Sus scrofa: one gene and its partner. The protein of the gene in region 1 purifies or fractionates together with the protein of each later gene. This does not show direct contact. Links are inferred from orthologs where the notes say so. Each region holds a gene or a part of one and is shown on either strand. Other genes may lie near its edges.

The links. Proteins that work in one complex are often made in the same cells at the same time.
Region 2: the proteins of SYTL4 (region 1) and RAB3A purify together in Homo sapiens (affinity purification with mass spectrometry; 3 studies listed by BioGRID and IntAct, counting the BioPlex papers as one, with this or other methods). This does not show direct contact. The link is inferred for Sus scrofa from reciprocal best matches to the Homo sapiens genes SYTL4 and RAB3A.

The regions. Positions count from the first base shown.
Region 1 is NC_010461.5:82,376,394-82,383,662, forward strand, and holds part of SYTL4 (synaptotagmin-like protein 4), read right to left. Parts: coding exon 7,203-7,269; intron 7,093-7,202; coding exon 6,989-7,092; intron 5,962-6,988; coding exon 5,869-5,961; intron 4,293-5,868; coding exon 4,114-4,292; intron 3,817-4,113; coding exon 3,714-3,816; intron 3,195-3,713; coding exon 3,033-3,194; intron 1-3,032. UniProt on the Homo sapiens protein: Modulates exocytosis of dense-core granules and secretion of hormones in the pancreas and the pituitary. Interacts with vesicles containing negatively charged phospholipids in a Ca(2+)-independent manner.
Region 2 is NC_010444.4:59,601,008-59,608,781, forward strand, and holds the start of RAB3A (ras-related protein Rab-3A), read left to right. Parts: upstream 1-3,381; coding exon 3,382-3,609; intron 3,610-5,540; coding exon 5,541-5,659; intron 5,660-6,921; coding exon 6,922-7,046; intron 7,047-7,774. UniProt on the Homo sapiens protein: The small GTPases Rab are key regulators of intracellular membrane trafficking, from the formation of transport vesicles to their fusion with membranes.

The DNA.
Region 1 (7,269 bases):
CACATAGTAGGTGCTTCACAAATACTTCCTGAGTGACTACAAGCATGAATGAGTGGGTGTCTGGGATGAGTAGCAAGTGGCCTTGGGCAGCAGCACTCTTCACTGTATCGGCCCTGTGTGACTTGCTCCTTATGCTTTGGTACCCAGAGCATAAGTTGGTGCTCTTGCTGATCACAGGTACTCTTTCACTGGCCTGTGTTCACTGGGGCTCCTCTAACCTAGGGCCTCAGTTCTGAACATAGTATGTCAGGAAGACATAATCCCCACTGGTTTGGAAAAAGGCACCACATACCCAGAATACATAGAAGTGTAGTATATGGGAGAGATATGAAAAAATTGTGGAGATGGAGGCCAAGAAAAGAAAACTGAATGGGAGCAAACAGATCACTATGGCAGAAAAAAAAGAAAACTCTGAGTCAACAAATGTAGAATGCTTTTAGTTAAAGTAGACATGTAATACTGGAGTGGTCTTTTTGTTGTTTATAAAATGTCTACACAATTTATTAGGCTCCAGATGTGAACTTCAGTGGACTCTTAAAAATTGTTGGAGTTTAGCCTTAGCTGGAAATTGGAGTATTTGTTTCAGTAGCAGATTTTCATCCTGGCTCAAAATAATTGCAATGAACACACAGCTCCATTCTAGTGCATCTTTTTCTTGTGATGTAAGGCATTTTTTACTGGCAGTTTACATGATGTTTTACAGTGATATTTTCAATACAATTTTATCAACTATAGGCCCCTGAGAGAATAACTTACATGCCAAATGCTTAAGAAACTCTAAATTTCCAATAATGTACTATAGTTTGGTAATAACTGCTTTCCCGTTTTTATTAGTACTTAAAGGGACATCTTTAATGTCAGTATTTTTGGAGGGCAGTAGCTATCAAAACACTAGATGTACATGTCCTTTGACTCAGCAATTTCACCACCAAAAATTTCTCCTACAGTTACATTCACAAATGAAAGCCAAGATATATTATTACCGCAGAGCTTTGATAGCAGAAAGAAAAAAAAAAGAGGTAAACAATTTTCATGCCATCCGTGGGGGGACTGTAAATCAATTCTAATACAGGCACATGAAGAATACTCTCCAGCAATTAAAATGAGATAAATCTATTAAATGATGGCCTAGAAAAAATGTCCATGGTAAATAACAAATTGTTAAATAAAAAAATCAAGGAGTTCCTATAGTGGCTCAGTGGTTAATGAATCCAACTAGGAACCATGAGGTTGCAGGTTCGGTCCCTGGCCTCGCTCAGTGGGTTAAGGATCTGACATTGCTGTGAGCTGTGGTGTAGGTTGCAGACGCAGCTCCAATCTGGCACTGCTGTGGCTGTGGCATAGGCCAGTGGCTACAGCTCCTTTTCGACCCCTAGCCTGGGAACCTCCATATGCCACAGGTGAGGCCCTAAAGAAGACAGAAAAAAAATCAAGATCTATATACACAATGAGGTTTACATGAGTCCATTTGTGTAAAAAAGAAAAAATATAAATTCATGTGGGTCTATCTGTGCTGTTTAATACAAAACTTCTATGAAGATATCCAAGTCATGGTTATTTCTAGGGAATTGAATCTGCTTTTCTTTTTATATACTTCTACATTATTTCAAAAAAAAATTTTTTTTGGCCATGCCTGCAACATGTGGAAGTTTTTGGGCCAGGGATCAAACCTGGCCACAGCAACTTGAGCCATGCAGTAACAATGCTGGTCCTTAACCCACTGAGCCACCAGAGAACTCCTGTTATTTTAATTTTGAGCCATGTGTGTCTTCTTAATGTTCTTAATAAGCAATATATGTAGACATGGTAAAAAGTTCAAACATTATAAAATGTTATAAAAGGGCATACACATAACTAAATGACCCTCCCACCTCAGTTTCTCTTTCTAGAGGCAGCCACTACTCCTAGTTCCTTGTCTATTTTCCAAAGGTATTCTATGACCATGTATTGTTTTTAGTATTGAAAATGCTAGTGTAAAAAAGTTTTATAGAAAAACCCTGCCAGGGAACAGTTTTGATAATTAAGGTGTCAAAACTCTGCCTTATTTTTTTACTTTTTGTCCTTTTAGGGCTGTACCCATGGCATATGGAAGTTCCTGGGCTAGGGATCCAATCAGAGCTGCAGCTGCCAGCCTATGCCACAGCCACAGCAACGCAGGATCCAAGGGTGTCTGTGATGTACACAACAGCTTGTGGCAATGCTGGGTCCTTAACCCACTGAGAGAGGCCAGGTGATTGAACCTGCATCCTCATGGATACTAGTCGGGCTCTGAACCCACTGAGCCACAACAGAAACTCCAAACTCTGTTTTAGCAATTTCATCTTAACCAGAATGACAGTAACCTACTAAATGTCCTTTATGTGCCAGGCACTGATTAGTACTTTGTATATGATCCTGCGGAAGAGGAATATTATTATCTCTATTCTTCATCTATTATTTTACAGATGAAGAAATAAGGTTCCCAAAAGTTAGGTGACTTACCTAGCTGGCAAATCCCAGAATCAGGATTCAAATCCAGGTCTGCACTCAGTTCCCAGGCACTATTATGCACATTGCTACACTCTCACCTGAGATGCCAATTCCAAAGTAAAATTGTTCCTGGCTTATGTGACCAAGATTATGGCCATTGGAATTCCATGAATTGCTTTACTTCCCACCTCTTTAGTGAAAAGGATAGCTTGGAAAAGGAGTGCAGATTAGGATAACCAAAAGGTTAGCTTGCAGAAGAGGCATAAGTTAGGATGTTATGGCATGCTCAAACTCTGGAAGATTAGGAGGCAAAGCCTGGCATGCATATGAAAGACTTCAAAGGAAAACCATGACTTTGTCCTTTGCCTGGCCTACGCGGAGATTACTCACACTTGCCATTCCAGTGCATCTGAAATGACTGTTAAACTCAGAACCCCCAGCAGAGTGTGCTAGAACTCCACACAAGGCTACATTTCAAGACTACCAACATGTCCCAGTAGAAATCAGTGCAGACAATTCTACCTCAGATTCAAACTCTGCAAGGAGTTGTTAAAGTAGACTACCTTGCCATGTAAAGGGAGGCAATGATCCAGTTTCTTATCAAGCATCCAGGAATCCATCTGGACCTCTGCCTCTCCAAGGAAAGTGTTTCTGCCAAAACGACCATGATGCCAAACCGAGAACTTCAAAGTCCTTTGGGACAGGACAGATTCTGGGATCTCATACTGTGAAAGGAAAGAAGCCCAACATGATTAGTTCATGGTAATTCCTCATGAAAAGACTACTCCAAAATCTGAGCAACCAGACCCAAAGTGAATATCAAATTACTTTAGTCCTTAAGCACTTTGAGGTTCCTCACTCAGAGCTTCCACTTACCCTATTTCACAAAAAACCTACCACATTCTGTGGAAGGGTCTAGAATATTCATTTTTTCCTTGAGTGGGCAAGAGAACACCAGAATATTCAAAAAGAACTGCCTGGGAGACTCCTGACCCCAACTGGCTTTTCAGGTTTTCAGAATGAATTTGTGGCCACGTGGAGCTCAACAGCACAGCAATCCAAGAAAGCTAGGTCCACTTTTGTCTCTTCTCTAGGAGGCTGGAACATGAAGAGATGCCTATAGGATATCCTCATACACAGACACAGCCATGGAAAACTACGTGGACCAGCTAGGTAACAGAGACATAGCTACAGCTCAGCACACAAGACAGAACAAGTTCTACTCTTGGGCTCTAGATACTTACTGTGAGGATCTCATCATAGAGCGGGTTAACGGTGTCCCGCTTGATGCTGGTTTTTCTTTTGCCTTGGCGGGATTTGTCAGGCAGAAGGTAAGTCTTCACATAGCTAAAAACCAAGGAAAACATCAAGTAATTTCCTGTCTTTTCAGAAGCTCACTCTTCACTTCCCTGCTCTCCATATACATACACCATGACAAAATGAAAATGTCACATCAGGCCCTCTCAGACATGTCATTATTGCATCTTCACAATTCTGGTCCCCTTCCCACATCTCCTTTAACCATCCTCAATCCCACCTCCCTGTCCTCCCAGGAAGTGACGGCCTCGGTTCCAGGGTGCCCAGAGAGATGCCGGGGTCTGAGCCATCATCTCCGAGCACCACATCGGGTCCAGAAGCACTCACGGGTTCGAATGCTTCTTGGCTTCGTCGGCATAGGCCAGCTGCTGGCACTCTTTCACATGAATAACCAGAGTCTGTGTTTGCTGCTCATACTTCAGTGAAAAGGTAACCTTGCCCGTCACAAAGATGTTCCCGAAATCACCAGCTTCGCTGTAGATGCTCATCATGCTGCCAATGGTACTCTGAGGAGAAAGCACCCACAAACATCTGGCGAAGGTATGCTCCCCCGCCACACTGCTCATATTTTCTCTCAGGAAAAAGCCCCCAGTCACAGAACAAAACAAAAGCCCCTTCAATAAATAAGCCAGTACCACCAACCATCTCGTACCCAGAATATAAAAGACAGTGCACACTCCCAACTGCTTAGGGTCATCTATCAGCTCACGGCTCCCCTAGACTCCAAGCTGCTCTTCTTGCCCTCTTCCTACACATTTTATTGTTAATTTTCAACTGCCCCAGAAGGTGTGCAAGGAAGAAAGGTAAGGTGCAGCTGAGTCCAATTTTGGTATATGTTATATATGCTACAATGTTAGCTAGAAGGAGTCAGTTACTAATTAAAACAAGGGGACTTCATTATCTGTGGGTTTCTTTTATCCACCTTATTCCTCTCAAGACGTATAAAGGAAAGTGCCTGTATCAGAACTGGCGGGGGGATCTCAGTAATAATCCACTCTGCAAGCCCACCATTCTCTTCCAGGAACATCCTGTTTCCCCTAAACATTAATCTTCATACTTTAGACAGAAACTAGTCCCTGATTATTTTTTAAAAAATTGTTTTCTTATTATGGCCACACCTGCAGCCTATGGCAGTTCCTGGGCCAGGGGTCAAATCAGAACTGTAGCTGAGGAGTTCCCGTCGTGGCGCAGTGGTTAATGAATCCAACTAGGAACCATGAGGTTGCAGGTTCGGTCCCTGCCCTTGCTCAGTGGGTTAAGGATCCGGCGTTCCCATGACCTGTGGTGTAGGTTGCAGACACGGCTCAGATCCCACGTTGCTGTGGCTCTGGCGTAGGCCAGTGGCTACAGCTCCAATTCGACCCCTAGCCTGGGAACCTCCATATGCCGTGGGAGCGGCCCAAAGAAATAGCAAAAAGACAAAAAAAAATAAAATAAAATAAAAATAGAACTGTAGCTGAGATCTACGCCATAGCCATAGCAACACTGGATCCTAGCCACCTCTGCAACTCCGGATCCTTAACCCACAGAGTGAGGCCAGGGATCAAACCCACATCCTCACAGAGATAACATCAGGTCCTTAACCTGCTGAGCCACAATGGGAACTCCTCCTAGGCTCTGATTCTTAAAATGTGCCTTTAACTTCATGATTCTGATTGGTACTGCTATTTCTTAATCATATCCTTATGCCAATTAACCCTTGCCAAGGCCCTTCTCATGGCAGTTACTGCCCTTAAATACAATATTTGGAGCATGCCCTGATGAAGAAATATGAACTTGCTCACTTCCTGGCCTGGGACCTTTTTAGGGGAGAAGTTATGGGTTACTGTTGACAAAGCTATGATGAACCTCCCTAGCCCTAACTACCTGATATAAGAATCTCCAGGGCAGAATCTGAGAAAGTCACCTCACTGCATACTAAGCAACTACTGTCCAAATTGAGGAAAAGAACAAACAAATGCATTGTATTTACTTGGAAAGAGTGACTAGAATTTCCCCAGATCCTGACTCTGCACTAGGGAGGTCCTTCCTTCCTTCCCAGTACCCCAACATGTCTATAGCCACAGAACTACTACAACTTACCATGGAGGAGCCACTTCGCATGCTGCTTCTGGCTAGCTTCTGACGATGCAACTTTACCAGGTGGTCAATGTCTTCTTCTTCCTCTTCCTCTTCCTGAAACAATGAATATAGATTCAGAGTTAATAAAAATAAGAAAAAGTTCAGGAATTCCCATTGTGATTCAGTGGAAATGAATCTGATGAGTATCCAGGAGGATGCAGATTTGATCCCTGGCCTCACTTAGTGGGTCAAGGACCTGGCATTGCCATGAGCTATGGTGTAGATCACAGATGCGGCTGGAATCCCGCATTGCTGTGGCTCTGGTGGTGGCGTAGGCCAGCGGCTATAGCTCCGATTCGAACCCTAGCCTGGGAACCTCCATATGCTGCAGGTGTGGCCCTAAAAAGACAAAAAAAGAAAAAGAAAAAGTTCAAAGACTAATCTCCTTCCTTGAGTAGGGGCCTTAATTGCTGCTAAGCCCTAAGGTGTCATGTGCCCATATACATACTTATTCTTATGTTTCCCCATTTCATGCTTCTAAACTATATTCCAACCATCCTTCTCAAATTTCAAAATAATATCTTTCTCATGAGGCTTCCCCAACCCAACCATCTCTACATTTTATTAAAAATAAGTATTTATTTGAGCCCCTAATTGTATATCAAGCAATGTGTAGAAAATGAAAGAGACAGTCTGTTTCTTTAAGTAATTCAACAACCAGATTTACTTTAGAAATTTCGGGAAATCAAGATTCATGTTACCTTTTCCTAAAGAATTAAACACATGAATTTAGAGCATCAGGTAGGAAAGTCAACTTTAGGTATATAAAATTTCTTTCTTTTTTTTTTTTCTTTGCTTTCTAGGGCTGTACCCACGACATATGGAGGTTCCCAGGCTAGGGGGTCGAATTGGAGCTGCAGTTGCTGGCTTGTGCCACAGCCACAGCAATGCAGGATCCAAGCTGCAGCTGAGGCCTACATCATAGCTCATGGCAACGCTGGATCCTTAGCCCACTGAGCAAGGCCAGGATCAAACCTGCAACCTCATAGTTACTAGTCAGATTTGTTTCCACTGAGCCAGGACAGGAACTCTGGTATATAAAATTTCATATAGCAAGCAAATGAAATACCAGGGTACTTACCATATCCACACTGAGGCCTGGGACAGATTTGCTTCTGTCTCCTAAGGAGCCACTTTCATGCCCCACATCTTCTGGGCGAAGATCGATCACAGATTTAGTGTATTCTGAGTGGAAAACCAAAAACCAAATCAAAGAAACCTACTCTTCTCCACACCAATAACCCAACAAGTACTCAAGAACTTCAATCTCAAGGCCATGAAGGGCAACCGGCTACCTGAAGGCCTGAGGATTTTTCTGGTGTTCTTCTTGAATATCATTTCACCCTCATCGATAGACACCAC
Region 2 (7,774 bases), on another chromosome or scaffold:
AACCCTCAACCTCATGGTTCCTAGTCGGATTCGTTAACCACTGCGCCACGACGGGAACTCCCCATTTTTTTTTTTTTTTTTTTTTTTTTGCCTTTTTGTCTTTTTAGGGCCACATCTGTGGCACATGGAGGTTCCTGGGCTAGGGGTCCAGTCAGAGCTGTAGCCAATACTCCAGAGCCACAGCAACTCGGGATCAGAGCCATGTCTGCCACCTACACCACAGCTCATGGCAACGCGAGATCCTTAACTCACTGAGTGAGGCCAGTGATCGAACCGGAGTCCTTACGGATGCTAGTCGGGTTCCTTAACCGCTGAGCCACGAAGGAAACTCCAGAGCTTCATTCTTAACAATGGAGGCCTTCCACTATTTTTATTTTATTTTTATTTTAAAATACAAATTCCTTTGTGCAGAAGGTGGTACATATTGCTGTGAGTGTTTACCCTTGGGGCGGGGGATAAGTAGGTATTTCCTTGTTCTCTCCATGTACAAAGCCCAAAATATGCACTTGGGAAATTAGGGAGCCTAGCGGCCACGTGCGCCCTCATCTCCACCGCGGCCGCGCCCAGAGGCGCCCCTCCCCCCCGGCCCCCACCTCTCCTAGCCCAAAGTGGGAACTCTACTGCTGTCCTCTGGGAGGCGGATATTGCAGGTGGATTTTATATTTATTTACGATGTTTTTTGAAATTTCCTAATTCTCCGTAGTAGGTTTGTGATACTTTCATGGTCAGAGTGAGGGAGAGGGACACAAATGCTACTTTTAGGGAAAAGAAACCCCAACAGATTTCCCAATTACAAGGAGGGCGGGAGGGAGCACTTCCAGGGGGCTGGGGGCGGCTTCTAGGCGCGAGGTTATTCTGGTATCTAGGAGCCTCTGCAGCTGGAGAGCTTTTTATAAACAGAGCAGGCCCCGCCCCTCGTCTCCTGAGGAGGAATCAGGGAGATCAGAATTTTCCTGGGGCCACGCGCTCCCTGCCGGGTGTGGGGACCGGAGTTGGCGAGGCAGCGATCGGCAGTGGGGGCCAAGGTCTCCTTCTTCCACCGCCCCCCTCCTCATTCTGACTTTTTCACAAGATTTGGCGGAAAAACGGTGGAACATCTTTGACCCCAAACTCCATCTCTGAGTCTCCTTTTGCCAGGAAGGAGGAGGGAGGATTCTTGAGTCTCCGTCTCTTAACTCAGGAACCAGGGAGGGGTAAAGCATCTCCGACCCTGCATCGTTATTGTTGGTTTTTAAACCTTGTTCGTATCCTCCCTGTTTCCCATGCCTTTTACTGCAGGCTTTGCGAGTTTGGGGGACAGGCCGTCTCTCCGCCCTGCTTCCGCCATTTCTTCGAATTTTTCTCTGGAAAATGGGGCACAGGAACGAGAGGGGTTCCCGGAGCGTCCATCAGCTCTTTCCTTCCTTCTGGGAATTGGGGAAGGGTGGCTCTCTTGGTCCCAATTGCTTCTTTCTCCATCTCATTAACAGGGTGGAGCATCCACCAGCCCGGCTCCCTTTGGGGATCTAACATCTCAGAAATTAGACAGGGTCTATCTTTACCCCTATTTCTGTTTTTTCTTCTTTTGCACTTATTTTGAAATAGGAGACATGGAGCATCTTCTCGGTTCCTTTTTTCTGAAACTGGGGTGTTTAACGAGAGGTCACGGCACTCAGGACTGGGCGGGGACCCCCTGATCCCGGACCTGGGGTGCGCGGGGGTGGGGAAGGGGAACGCCCCCAGAAGACCAAGGCTCCGCCAAAGCCTCAACCTCTCCGCCCTTCAACCACTCGGGAACCAACGCTGGACGAGAGGAGGGCCGTGACAATCTTTTATTGGCTATTTAGCAAATCGCTTGAACACTTAAGCCAATCATAAGGCGCCGTGAAACCCCGCCTCCCTAACACTGGAGAGAGGTGGCCCCAGCAGGCGATTCCTCCCCTCCGGCACTGCTTTCGCTAGCTACTGGATGCGCTCGCTGGGCCCCGCCCCATTCTCGCGTCAATCTGCGTGGGGAGCCTCGCCCCTCCCCGCTCTGCGTGTGACAGTGGACCCTATCTCAATGCGTGGCTCCGCCCCAGGATGGCGTCACGGCCGTATCTGCATGTGAGGCCCCGCCCTGCTCTTTGCAGGACGTCACCAAGGACTGCAGGGGCCTGAGCCGCTGCCGCCGCCTCCGCTGCCGCGCAGCCCCACATCAACGCACTGGGGGCCCCGTCGCCACCGCTAGGGTCACCACCACATCACTGCAGGGCAAGGTGAGCTCCCGAGTGTCCCTGTGCACTCCCGCTCGGAGTACCTACATAACCTTCATTTGACTGATGGGCTGGCTGGGGTGAGAGACGAGGTTGGCAGGTGTTAAATGAGGGGAAGGATGCGGCGGTCGCGAGCCTGGGGAGGGGTAGGTTCCCCTTACCTGCTGGATCCTCCTCCCCACCCCCACCTCTCCACCCCGGTTCTGCGGCGGAGGGGGAGGGGAGACGAGACGGGTGCCTTGCGGGAAGCTGTGCGCGCGGGAGGCTCCATGCGTGCGCGTGCGCGTGGTGTGCACACGCGTGTGCGCGCCCGCCTGTACCGGCCGATTTGTGTGTACCCTTGCTTGGGTCCCAGGGTATGCTCTTGTGACCCCCCCGGGTTTCCCTACTCAAGTTTGTGCATGTTGCACGCGTGTGGAGGGGGACGCGTGGACTATGCGTGTGCGTGCACAGCAAAGTGCATACATGTACAGAGATGCGTGCCCATGTGGGTGACGTGTACTCGGCTGCATAGGTGGAGGACACAGTGCGCACGGGTGGATTTGCTCATTGGTATATGCATGTCGGTGTGCAGACAGGTGTCTGCCTCTGTCCTGTGCGCCGAGTGTGTTCGATGCTCAGATATGCACGAATGTGCCCTGGTGTGTGCCCTGCTGTGTGCACGTGAGCGTGAGCACGCCCTGCTCCTATCACGTGGGGTAGCTGCTTCAGCCCGAGCTCTCCCAGCCTGGGAATCTGGGAGGACTGCAGATACGCGTCCCCGCGGGTACCGTACACGCGTGTGCACGTGCGCTAGCGCCGCTCAGTTCTGAGGAACGTGAATGATTGATAGGGGGCGGGGCCGGCCGCAGTCACTCCCCTAGGCACAGCTGTAGGGCTTAGGTTGCTGTCGGACCAGGGGCTCCGGCCTGCAGCGATGTCTCCATCCCTTTCGGTCTGAAAGTCCTCCCCTGAAACCTTGGGCCTTTCAAGGTCAAGGCCCGCCCTCTGCTGTGGGCCCCACCATTAGTACTGGGGCTCCTGACGGGATAAAGGTAATCTCTGTCTCACTCTGGGAGCTCTGGAGTTCTTCCATCCTGAGTCTGGGCTTGGGCGTTTGGAGTTGGAGGGCGACCCTCTCACGCTCGCCTATGCCCCGTACCCCCAGATGGCATCTGCCACAGACTCGCGCTATGGGCAGAAGGAGTCCTCGGACCAGAACTTTGACTACATGTTTAAGATCCTCATCATTGGAAACAGCAGTGTGGGCAAGACATCCTTCCTCTTCCGCTATGCAGACGACTCCTTCACGCCTGCCTTTGTCAGCACTGTAGGAATCGACTTCAAGGTCAAGACCATCTACCGGAATGATAAGAGGATCAAGCTGCAGATCTGGGTGGGTCCAGCTGGGGGAATTCTGTCTCCATCACTCCCTCTCTGTCCCAAAGAGCAGCCCAGCTTTCCCTATTGCTTTCCTGTCTAGATTCATTCATTACACACTGAGCATTTTTTCAGGCCCTTACTGTGTACCACAGGATAGAGGCACAGAAGAGGGTATCTCGGTTCTTTCAGTGTGTCATCGGTGCTCTCCAAGGGTGGGGAAGTAGCAAATGCCAGGTAGGTCCTCTCCTACCTCTGACATCATTGGACACATCATTTGCTTGGTGCCTCAGCTTCTCTCCCCATCTTCAGCTTCCTCCATGTGGCTCTGTATGAGGTTTCAGAGAAATCTTGACCCCCCCCCCCACCTCATTCTCCGAGACAGGAACAGGCTCCTCTAGCCACCTCCCTCAGTGCCTCTGAGACATGAGGGAGCCTGCTAAATCCAAAGTCAGAACCATCCCTTCTCTGTTCACAGTTCTGCCAAGGCTCCCACCTCATCTGGGTTAAACCTGTGCCTTCTCCCCCTGGCTAAGATCCTGTGTGGTCTATCCTTGTTGATACCCAATCTCATTTGTATCCCTCCATCTCTACCTCAGCCTCTTCACTGTCTCACTGTTCCTCAAATATACCAGACATAGTCCACATCTGGGCCTTTCCCTGGGCTGTGCCTTCTGCCTGGATTACCTTTCTTCTTATCTCTGCAGGGCTCCCTCCCTCATCCTTCAAGTTTTTTGTTTTTTGTTTTTTTTTTTTTGTCTTTTTAGGGCCACACCCTCAGCATATGGAGGGTCCCAGGCTAGGGGTCTAATCAGAGCTGCAGCTGCCTGCCTACACCACAGCCACAGCAATGCCAGATCCAAGCCATATCTGCAACCTACACCACAGCTCATGGCAACACATCCCCAACTCACTGAGCTTGGCCAGGGATCAAACCCACATCCTCTTGGATACTAGGTGGATTTGTTTTCGCTGCACCATGACAGGAACTCCTGATTTTGGTCTATTTTGGTTTTTTGTTTTGTTTTTGTCTCTCTCTCTCTTTTTCCTCTTTTGTTCTACCCAGTTATGTGGTGGGTTTCTTGCCCTTTTTGGAGGTTTAAGATCTTCTGTCAGCATTCAGTAGATGTCTTGTACGAATCTTTCTACATGTAGATGGGTTTTTGTTTTTGTTTTGTTTTTTTTGATGTGTTCATTGGAGAAGATGAGTACCTTGTCTTACTCCTCTGCCATCTCAATCCCGATGCTATTGGTTTTTGTTTTTTGCCCACACCCAGGGGCATGTGGAAGTTCCCAGGCCAGGGGTTGAACCCATGCCACAGTGGCAGCCCAAACCACTGCAGTGACAACGCTAGATCCTTAACCATTTGTGCCACAAGAGAACTCTCTGGTGCTTTTTTTTTTGGTCTTTTTGTCTTTTTGCCATTTCTAGGGCCGCTCCTGCGGCATATGGAGGTTCCCAGGCTAGGGGTCCAATCGGAGCTGTAGCTGCCGGCCTACACCAGAGCCACAGCAACGCGGGATCCGAGCCGCGTCTGCAACCTACACCACAGCTCACGGCAATGCCAGATCCTTAACCCACTAAGCAAGGCCAGGGATCGAACCTGCAACCTCATGGTTCCTAGTTGGATTCGTTAACCACTGAGCCACGACAGGAACTCTACTCCCTGGTCCATTTTGTTAACACCTAGGTCCCTAGTGCCTGGCACAGGTCAGTGCCCAGCACATATGTGCTGAATGAATGAAGGAACGATTCTGTAGCTACCTTGGGATGACTGGGTACCACATTCCCGGTGCAGGCAGCCTACTCACTCTCCCTGACCCACTGTGCTCCTAGGCAAGCCCCTACTCCTCTGGGCCTCAAGGGGGTGGATGATTTCAGAGTTCATTTCCACTCTTAGGAGCTTCTGTGTGTGTCCTCTCTGCCACTCATCTCTTCTTCCCCAGGACACAGCGGGGCAAGAGCGGTACCGGACCATCACGACAGCCTATTACCGGGGCGCCATGGGCTTCATCCTCATGTATGACATCACCAATGAAGAGTCCTTCAATGCAGTGCAGGACTGGTGAGCATGCCCCACCCACTCTCAGGTGGTTTTCAAGCCAGGCTTGATGCAAAGCCTGGGGTGCAGCCTGAGACTAGGGAGCCCCAGCCCCCTATCAGAAATATAAATAACAATATTGGGGGTCCCAGCCCTGCTATCAATCTATAATCATTAAAACCATATGACACCAGCTTGAAATAATGGGAAAAGAAGATTTCAGGAGTTCCCTGGTGGCCTAGCTATTGAAGGATCTAGTGTTGTCACCCCAATGGCTCAGGTTAGATCCCTGGTTTGGAAACTTACATATGCTGTGGGCATAGCCAAAAAAAAAAAGTTTTCAGGAGTTCCTGTTGTGGCACAGCAGAAACGAATCCGACTAGGAACCATGAGGTTCGATCTCTGGCCTCGCTCAGTGGGTTAAGGATCTAGCGTTGCCCTGAACTGTGGTGTAGGTCACAGACTTGACTTGGATCTCACATTGCTCTGTGACTGTGGCATAGGCCAGTAGCTGTAGCTCCGATTAGACCCCTCGCCTGGGAACCTCCATATGCTGCAAGTGTGGCCCATAAAAAAAAAAAGATTTCAGATGGAAAAATGAAATAGTGAACATCAAGGAAAAAAAAAGCCTGAGAGGGACAGAAAACATAAAGGCAGTTTGTATAGATTAGAGGATATAAACATTTAAAATTTTTGCCCAGAGTAAGGATAACGTTTAAAATGTAATGTTTGAATTTGCTCAAGAGGGAGAAATTCTTCTGGGGCTGATATGGGGTGATCTGGGAAGGGTAAGCTGCTTGAAAAAGAGGGATCTCCCAGAGTTCCCGTTGTGGCTCAGCATTAACAGACTCGACTAGTATCCCTGAGGTCACAGGTTTGATTCCTGGCCTCACTCAGTGGGTTAAAGATCTGGCAATGCTGTGAGCTGTGGTGTAGGTTGCAGATTTGGCTCGGACCCCTCATTGCTGTGGCTGTGGTGTAGGCTAGCAGCTACAGCTCCAATTTGACCCCTAGCCTGGGAACTGCCATGTGCCATGGTGCAGCCCTAAAAAAGACAAAAAAAAAAAAAAAAAAAAAAAAAGAAAGAAAGAAAGAGGGACTCCCAAGATCATTGAACTGCAGGAGCAGGAGCAGATACATGGCAGGACAGAGGGACCAAGCCTGCTTCTCTCAAGGAATAAATGAGTTGTGGGGCTCTGGAGTTGGGTGAATAAGGCAGGGGAAGATGGAGACGGGTAGAGCTTAGATTCTCCAAGTCCTAACCTGCCTGTCACCACCTCCTCCAGGTCAACCCAGATCAAGACATACTCATGGGACAATGCCCAGGTGCTGCTGGTGGGGAACAAGTGTGACATGGAGGATGAGCGGGTGGTGTCATCAGAACGTGGCCGGCAGCTGGCTGACCACCTGGGTGAGTGCCTAGAGGGGCTGGACACCTACAGGCCAGGAAAGGGACACTGAGGGCCTGGAAAGGGGAGGAGACACACCCAAGGTCTCACAGCAAAACCAGGATGGGGCCTGTATTCAAATCTGAGTTTTTCGTACTTTTTGCAAACCGACCTTGATTCTAGGGGCCATGTGAGGTGGATCTTGATGGCTGCTTAGGAGTCTACTCTGCAGGAAGTTACTGATACCCTCACTGCCCAGCCTTGTACTGGGTGCTCCTGAGCCCTTGAGAAGTCTCCAGCTTTGTGAGACTGAGGGAGGGACCTGGGCTGGGCAAGACCATGGGGGAAGCCAGGCTCACACTGGCATAGGTAAGGCTTCCTGGAAGTGGGGCCATTGGAGCTGGTACTTGAAGACAAAGGGTGGGCTTTCAGACAGAAGAAACAGTGTGGGCAAAGGCAGATGTGGGAACTACCCTTTTGGAGAATAGTTTTATGTGACTGGAACACGAGGGTCACTTGGAGGAAATATGGCTGATCATGCAGGACCTGAACCATGAGTTGAGGAGCCAGACTCTTCAGAGGACAATAGGGAGCCATGGTGGGTGCGGGAGCATGGAAAGGCCTTGATCTGAATGTCAAAAGCCACTAGGGCCAGGGTTGAGCTGGATAGTAGGAGCAGGGAAGTGGGTCTTACCAGGGCAGTTTGAGCGTGAAGAGATGCGGGAAATAAAGGCTGACTTAGTCCAGCGTC